Oryctolagus cuniculus: one gene and its partner. The protein of the gene in region 2 interacts with the protein of the main gene of each other region in a pairwise test. Links are inferred from orthologs where the notes say so. Each region holds a gene or a part of one and is shown on either strand. Other genes may lie near its edges. The genes, in order: GRB14 and FGFR1.

The links.
Region 1: the proteins of FGFR1 (region 2) and GRB14 interact in a two-hybrid assay, tested with the Homo sapiens proteins (2 studies listed by BioGRID, with this or other methods). The link is inferred for Oryctolagus cuniculus from reciprocal best matches to the Homo sapiens genes FGFR1 and GRB14.

The regions. Positions count from the first base shown.
Region 1 is NC_091434.1:76,882,894-76,887,422, forward strand, and holds the start of GRB14 (growth factor receptor-bound protein 14), read left to right. Parts: upstream 1-1,472; 5' UTR 1,473-1,665; coding exon 1,666-1,856; intron 1,857-3,175; coding exon 3,176-3,308; intron 3,309-4,529. UniProt on the Homo sapiens protein: Adapter protein which modulates coupling of cell surface receptor kinases with specific signaling pathways. Binds to, and suppresses signals from, the activated insulin receptor (INSR). Potent inhibitor of insulin-stimulated MAPK3 phosphorylation.
Region 2 is NC_091433.1:88,157,084-88,160,885, forward strand, and holds part of FGFR1 (fibroblast growth factor receptor 1), read right to left. Parts: intron 2,145-3,802; coding exon 1,941-2,144; intron 1,201-1,940; coding exon of another isoform or gene 1,200-1,200; coding exon 1,055-1,199; intron 863-1,054; coding exon 741-862; intron 297-740; coding exon 186-296; intron 1-185. UniProt on the Homo sapiens protein: Tyrosine-protein kinase that acts as a cell-surface receptor for fibroblast growth factors and plays an essential role in the regulation of embryonic development, cell proliferation, differentiation and migration.

The DNA of each region.
Region 1 (4,529 bases), on a different chromosome or scaffold from region 2:
TACACCCTTCCTAGATACAGCCAGTGGTGGGTGTCCCGGTGGAGAAGGGGACGCAGAGATGAGGGTGTGGGTTGCCATCTCTCTCTCTTTTTAAAAAAGATGCAGTTTTTTAGAAGTCAGAGTTACAAAGAGAGGGGTAGAGAGAAAGCTCATCCATATGCCGGCTCACTCCTCAAATAGCCACTAGGGCTGGGGCCGGTGGAAGCCAGCGGTTTCTTCCAGGTCTCAGGTCTCCGGTGCAGAGGCCCAAGCTTCCGCCACTTCCCCAGGAGCATTAGCAGGGAGCTGGATGGAGAGCAGGGCGGCCCGGACTCAAGCCAGAGCCCATATGAGATGCGGGCACTGCAGGGGGTTACATAAGCCCACATGGCAGCACGGGTTGCCATCTCTTCAGGATGGCGGCGTTTGCTTTTCCCTGGACAGAGGCTGCGGAGGTTAAGACAAACTGGTGAAACAGATGCTAGGGACAGACGTTACCTAATTTGGTGAAAGAACAGAGTGTGTAAAACATTCGCAAACGCTCAGCAGTGCGTGGAGATATGGTCAGGTGTGGGAAGAGCAGGAACAGCTATCGCCCAGAACTTCGGAGGCGGCTGCACGTGAGGTCATTACCATTCCAAGCGGTCCAGGTCTTAGAGAAGGTGCTTCTGGGTTGCAATCCTGACTGCATCAGTTACTAGTACTCTGTGTGAAGCCCCCATTTCCTGATGCGCAAAATAAGGTACGTATTTAATTTCGGGAGCTGCTGTGAGCCTGGGATGGGAAAAGGCAGAGTAGGAACTCATGAAATGAAAACTGCTCTCATGAAAAGAAAATAATCTTTCCAGTTCCAGACCCCTCCTGGTTTACTCATGACTTCCTGAGGAGTCTCAAAATCTCAGTAGTTGTCTATGAGCGTACTCCCTGCTCTCTCTCCCTCCTCTCCCCACGCCGCGCCCCAATCCTTGGCTTCAGAGTGCATGAAGAGGCACCTGGAGACGGACCAGGGCAAACCTGGCCCCGTGGACCCCTGGCCTCCTGGCCCGGTAGCGCCTGTCATGGCGGCCCAGAGACAGCTTAGGTGATCTCAGATCGCAGAGCTGGAAGAATGGAAGAGTCTGAGAGTCAGCGCTGCCCGAACCCCTGCCTCGCCGGCGCGCTCCGCTCCGCTCCGCCTGGCAAGCCGTGCGGGGAGCACGGGCTCCGCTTGGAGCCTGCCTCGAGCAGCGCTGGGCCCGCCCTGGCCCGGGCTTAGCCTGGCACTAGGGCGCCCACCTGGGGAGGCGGCGGTCGGGGCCACCCGAGCAGCGGCGAGCTGAGGTCCTGGGGCGGGCTGCCGAGGACCGACGACACCTCCCCCGAGCGCGCCGGGCCCCTCCGCGGGCCGGGCCGCCGCGCGCGCGCCCTCCCCGCCCCCTCCGCGCCTCGCCCCGCCGCCCGCGGCCCCCACCCACCGGCCGCTCCTCCCCTCTCCCCACCCTCCTCCTCCGCCCCCTCCCCTCCCCCGCCGCCTCGCAGACTGCTCAGCCGAGCTGCTGAGCCGCCGGGGCCGGAGCGCAGGCGGCCAGGCCACCGCACCTGCAGGGCGCTCGGGCCGCCGAGCCGGCATCCCGCCTCCCGCCTCCCGACACCCCGCAGCCTAGGCGCCCGGGCTCCCATGCCGCCTGAGCCCCCGGGCCGGCAACCATGACCACTTCCCTGCAAGATGGGCAGAGCGCCGCGGACAGGGCGGCTGCCCGGGACTCGCCGCTGGCCGCCCAGGTGTGCGGCGCTGCCCAGGGAAGGGACGACGCCCACGACCCGGCGCGGGCCCCCTGGCTGCACGCGCGAGCTCTGGTGCCGGCTCCGGACGGGACCCGCGGCTGTGCTGCAGACAGGTAGGCAGCCCTCGGAGGGCGCGGGGGAGTGTCCTGGCTTGGCAGCGGGCGAGGGGGTGAGGAGGCGGTCCTAGGAGGTGAGCCATGTGCCCAGAGCTGGGCCAAGTTAGAGAAAGTCTCCGAAGACAATTCTCTTGGAGCTGGCTCCTGCCGGATCAACAGGACATTGCGATCTCACAGCTTATAAATAGCATCACCGTTTCATTGAGAGCTCGTGGTCTCTCTCGCCTTTGCCCATCCGTGTGATCTGCAGGGAGTTGTGTGGAGCGGGGCGGGGGGCGGGGAGCAGCGTGGTGGGAAGAGTGGACTCAAGGTTCATTACCCTCTGCCCCTTCTGCGTGACCCTGCACTCTGCCCCTTCTGCGTGACCCTGCATTTAAAAAAAATCTTATTATTAAAAAAAATCGTAGCATAAATGAGTTCACTTCCCCCCTAGAGTCTTAGAAAGACCCCGGCGAGGAAGCAAAGCATGGATTGACATTTGAGCAGTCTTGCCGCTCAGCAGAAAAGAATAGAGGCATTGAAAGGTTTTCCCATCTCCATAGCATTTAGCACTAAGTGCCTTCAGAGTTGCACGTACTTCAGGGAAGAAAACCCGCTAGAACAATACCAAAGTCTGTAGTCCTTTGTATTCATACATTGAAATGGTACTTTTCCCCCCCAGATTTTCAAAGTGCTCCAACTTCTGTGAAGTTAACATTACTCTCCAGTGGACTAGAGTACATTTATACCAGCAAGTTCTGTTAACTTACCTCCTCAAAAACACTGCCTCGCTGTTGAGTGTCTCTGAGCACTTGAAAAATCAACAGACTGTGTGTGGGCAACATTGTGAATGGAATTTGAAGTGAGATGAACCAAAGCTATAATTAATAGATCATAACTTCCAGAAGTGATTAGTAAAATATCATAGGGATGAATTCACTCGGTGTAACTTAGGGACTTTGTCCATTGCACGGATTCGCAGCAGTGTCTACCTCCTCAGGATTTTCTTTGCATTAATAATTACACAATCCACATTTCTGCCTCAGGAAAATTACAGGAGTGCTGAACATGGAGTTTCCATGCTTGGTGACTTATTCGAAGTCCCGCACATTTCCCTAAAAAAGATAGGAATACTATAAGAGATTTATTTTTGTCAGTTAACATATTTTATTTTTACCCACAGAAAGGGCAGCACGGACCTCTTCTGTTTACTTTATGTAATATTAGCGTCATCGCTGAGTGCTGTGTGTTGGCCTTCATGCACTTTTTAATGCTGACAGCGTTTGTCTTTTACATTCCGTTCTATGTAAATTACATCCTATGTTCTCTTGCTGTAGGAGAAAAAAGAAAGATCTTGATGTTCTGGAAACGCCATCTATTCCAAACCCCTTTCCTGAGCTCTGCTGTTCTCCATTTACATCTGTGTTGTCAGCAGGCCTCTTTCCCAAAGCAAATTCAAGGAAAAAACAGGTATGCATTGCTAAACTTTTTAACGATTTTAGGTGTTCTAAATCCATAAGGTCTTTGATGAATTCCAGTAAGTTACAGTACTAACAAAGGATTAGCCTGGGCTAATCTTAATCATTTCACTGACTGGCACAGTCCTCTGGTGTTGCTTTTAATTTTAGGGCCTCAGTTTTCCCAGCTGTATAACAGGAATGTTAAAGCTTACCTCTTGGGATGGGTTAAAAGAGAACGTGAGTATATGCAAAGTGCAGCGTCTGGGAGTTTTTATCATTTGCTGAATAGGTGAATAGGGAGAGCATTAAGTGACGATAGAGTATCAATTTTAAGTCAAGGCTTGGAAGGGAGTGGGGAAGTGGTGATGGGGTAAGAAAAGGCTTGGCTCATTTCTCTTAGCCTGTGTAATCATTTGTATTTTCAAAGTCAATCTCATTTGCTCAGGCAAGTGTTACTGTGAATCTGTAGCACAGGCAATTGGAGTTTAGGACTGCATATGTCTTCTTCATTTCAGTGAATGCCTCAGTCTGGAGGCTTGTGCACAGAAGGCAGATGACCTGTAAGTAATGGTCAGAAGGTGGACTTTGTTTTTCTGATGTTTTGGACTTACTTCAGCAATTAAGATTTTAAGAACCAAGCAACCAAAAAGAGATAAATCATGATGATGCATTCATGAACAATAAAAATAAGGTTTTCTAGCATAATTCATCTCATCATACACTTTCTCCCAGTTTTGAACTAGCAAAATAAAGAGAAATTTTGCTACAAAAATTCTCCTTGTTTTTATTGGAGTAGAAGTGACAGATGTAGGCAACCAGGTACCCGTGAAGAGGGGTCTAATGAGGAGAAGACAGTTCGTCATTTTCCCCACCTACTGTTCTCTTTCCCTTTTCCACATCTCTGTTACCTTTGATGGCTTCAACAATGTGTGTTTATATTTTTACAAATGGAAGAAATAACCTAGGAAGTAGATGATTTCTTCCTAATTCACAGTAATAGAAACTGGAGGATTTGTGCTTGTAGGGAAGTCTGGTATATATACTTTTTTTGGGAGGTGAAATCTAAGTGGTGCATGTGTTTTGCATAAGGATTGGAGGGAGTTACTCTTCAAGTGCATGGGAATATTCTGAGTTGGCATCTTTGATAGGGGAGGCCAACCTGTAAGGGATGCGCCTATACATTTGGTTGGGAAGATAGACGAAGAAGAGATTCTCTTGAAAGATTTGCTAT
Region 2 (3,802 bases):
CATCATGTGTGGGACTCCAGTGTCTGTGTCCTGGAGCAGCAATGGACAGCAGCCCAGACCCGAGGAGATACTCTGCAGTCACTGCTACACAGGCCTCCCTCCCTCCCCTCTGAGTGCAGCCCCCTCCCGCCAGCCTGGTCGGTCTGCTGCAGGTGATGGGAGGGCCAGCCCGGCTCTGTGCCTACCGTCCTGCGTGCAGGCCCCCAGCAGGTTGATGATGTTCTTGTGCTTCCCAATCATCTTCATCATCTCCATTTCTGAGATCAGATCGGAAAGATCTTTCTCTGTTGCATCCGCTTTACACATAAACCAGAAAACGGCATGAGACTCCTTTGCTCTGGGAGGGAGCAGGGCAGGATAAAAGCCAAGGGGACCAGCAGACTGTGTGCCCGAGGGACCCCTTTGTGCAGAGGCTCCCTCCCGCTCTGCTCCTCCACCAAACACTTCATTTCCCTGCTCTCATATGGGAGTACTGTTGTGAGTGAGGCAGGGGCAACGGTGAGCAAGCTGAAACACACACCTGACTACAGCCTAGGCTGGTGTGCAAGGAACAGAGGGAGGAGACACTGCTCTCGCAGTGCAGAGCGCCCCTCCCACTCCCAGGTAAGCTCAAGAGGCAGCAAAGCAGGCAGGGGCAGGGAAAGCACCAGAGGAGGGGTCCGATTCGGCGGGCGGCTGCACACAGTCTGCTCGGAAGACGGGAAGGGGCTGTTTTACGCAGAGACACAAGCATCACTCACACTTCAACATCTTCACGGCCACTTTGGTCACACGGTTGGGTTTGTCCTTGTCCAGCCCAATGGCCTCCGCCAACACCACCTGCCCGAAGCAGCCCTCTCCCAGGGGTTTGCCCAAGACCAGTCTTTGGCAGGGAGGAGGGAGAGAAATTGGCAAGAGTCAGGGTTGGTAAATGCCAAACACACAGAGGATACCCAAAGGCAAGCAAGAAATGGACAGGATTCTGTCTGGAGGCACTGCACATGCCTTGACTCCCCGGAAGGTCCTGGCACCCACAATCTCCACCCTAAGAGCCACAACAAAGGGGTGTCCTCACCTGTCTCGAGGCAGCTCCCAGCGAGGGTCTTCGGGCAGCTCATATTCAGAGACCCCAGCTAACATGGGGGTCCCGCTGGAGGAGAGCCGTGAGGGCCGAACCAGAAGAACCCCTGAATTCATGGATGCACTGGAGTCAGCCGACACCTATAGGGAAGAGTGGGGTTACCTTCTAGCAAGGGGATGGGATGCAGCCGCAGAAGCCTGAGTCTCTTGCGTCTGAGGTTCCTTCCCCAACGTGGAGCCGCAGAAAGACTGCGGGAGGCCGGGAGACCCGTGTTCTCATCCTGACTTATTTCTGCCACTGATCAGCTGTGTTGGGCTTCACTCACCTTGGAAATAGCAGACCACACACACCTCTCCCAGCATGACCTGCCACAACGCAACACTGCAGTAATGACTCTCATTCGTGCCCCAATTCCTGGCAAAGACCCTGCCTTGGATGATGGATTTCTAACGCCCAAAGTTAGTTCCAGAGTTTGCACAGGGTTCTGAGTGCCCGCCACTCAGACCTGGGAACTGACTTGGGTCCTCTTCTCTCTACCCTGCTTCTCTGTCCCTTCAGCTGGCCCTGGGAGGTGCTCAGATACACGGCATCAGCTACACATACAGACCACACAGGACTCTCTCCCCATGCATGTGAACAGGGTCGTTTCAACAGGGGCATGGAGGGTACAGGGAATTTTCTAGGCTAGACCAGTGTGAAACTGACTCTGGAACACTGGGTTTAGGCCCTTCTTCTAACACGCCTGGCCCAGAAGTCAGAAAGCAAAGCCTAAAGGGGGAGAGGAGGGACGGTGGAGAGGCTGAGGCATCGGGGGACCCTGCGGATGTCCCCGGAGGCACAGCAAGAGAAAGCGCAAGCGTGCAAATCCCCCATCTACTTTCTGTTACCTGTCTGCGCAGGGGGATGCTCTTGGCCAGCTTGTGCACGGCCATCTGGCTGTGGAAGTCGCTCTTCTTGGTGCCACTCTTCATCTTGTAGATGATGACGGAGCCCACCATGCAGGAGATGAGGAAGGCCCCCGTGCAATAGATGATGATCTCCAGGTACAGGGGCGATGTCATCACGGCTGGTCTCTCTTCCAGGGCTGAGTCGGTGTGAACAGGGTGTTAGCAGGTGCAGGGGAGCCCCAGGCTGACAAGGGGTTTCCCCACTGCATTAGAAAAACAACACCCATCTCCTCTGCCTCATTTAGGGGTGTTCAGAAGATGTAAGCTAGGGGTGGGGTTCTGGCACCGAGAGGGTCAGGCATCCTGGGATCCCTGAGGCGTCCTTAACCGGATGCAAAGTCCCTAAGTGCTAAGCACTAGACATCTATTCTCATTTGGGAGCCTCCTCACTCAGCTGCGGCTGGGGGGATGGTTGGATACCAGGTATCCCCTCTCAGGTATCCCGAGAGGGGCAGCTGAGAAGTCACTTCTGGATGCCTTTCTCAGTGTCACTGCAGAGCCTCGGACACTTATCCCATGGGGACAGACCGTTTCTGATGAGGTCCCAGAGGCAGGGCCGAGGCCTTGGTCACTTGTGTCTGCCCCAGCACCTGAGTGTGGGCGGCGGCACCCGGCCTGTGTCCTGACACCTGTGTCAGTCACCTCCACTAGACCAGACATGTAAATATTTACACCTAGCCAAGCCACTTGCAAAGGGATTCCACTTCCCAACGTGTCTGAATTGTTTTTTCTGTGTAGTTCTCACAAGAGTTCTACTCACGGGCTTTACCTCCTAACAAACACTCACAAAGGAAAAGGGAGCGGCAGGTGCCTTGTTTTATTCTCTGCCTGCCCTCTTTCCATCTGGAACTCACTGCCACCCCCCAAAAGCCAAGCCAGTTCAGCCCACCTGTCTGTACCCGGGAGAGAACTCTCATCCCAGCCCCACCCTCGCGAGGGGCCCCTCTTCCCGTCACCGCTGTCTCCCCTCCTGATCCGCCCCTCAGAAACCCTGCAGCCAGCCACAGAGGTGGCGGGAGTTATCCCCACCCCAACCCAGAGAGAGGCACAGGACGAGGCCCAGGCCCAGGCCCTTGAGGACCTCAAGGCCTGACCGGCAGACGACAGAGCTGATGACAGAAGTGTTTCTGTTTTACTCCTTTCCCCAACGTCGAGAAACAAAAGACAAATGATGGGGTGCACAGACAGACGGGACGAAGACAGGACGACGATGAAAACAGAGAACACTTCTGTGCCTCAAGTGGAGGGGGGTGAGGACAGAAGGGGGCGGAGTCAGACAGGAGAGCAGATGGCACCCAGACCCACATGCGGGACACGCGGAGATGCAGCACACCCAGCTCCGGTCACCACCACCCTGCACAGCTGCAGGCTTCTTCCTTCCTGGCTCGACACAGACCTCCCGCCGGGGACAGCAGCCAGAGAGGATGCAGGGGGACTGCCATGGCCCCACTGAGGCTGCCTGAGGCAGGCCTGACTTAGAGCAGGTCGTGTTCACTTGTCTAGAAAGGTGGCTTCTCCCCAGCCAGAGGACCTGGCATGCAGGCTGGACAAGTGCCGCTCCCTACAAGCATTGAGCACCTCTGGGCTGAGGGCCTACATGCAGTGTGAAGAGCAGGGCTCTTTCTCAAACTTTTGGGATTGGTGCAAAAAAATAAAAAAATAAAATAAATAAATAAATCAGGTATCTCAGACACCCAGGGACCTAGGGGAGGCTGCAGGACCCAAGGACAGGAGAAGCCTGCCCTGCAGGAGAGCCCGGCTGCCGAAATGAATCCAGATCCCCAGCATGCATTGC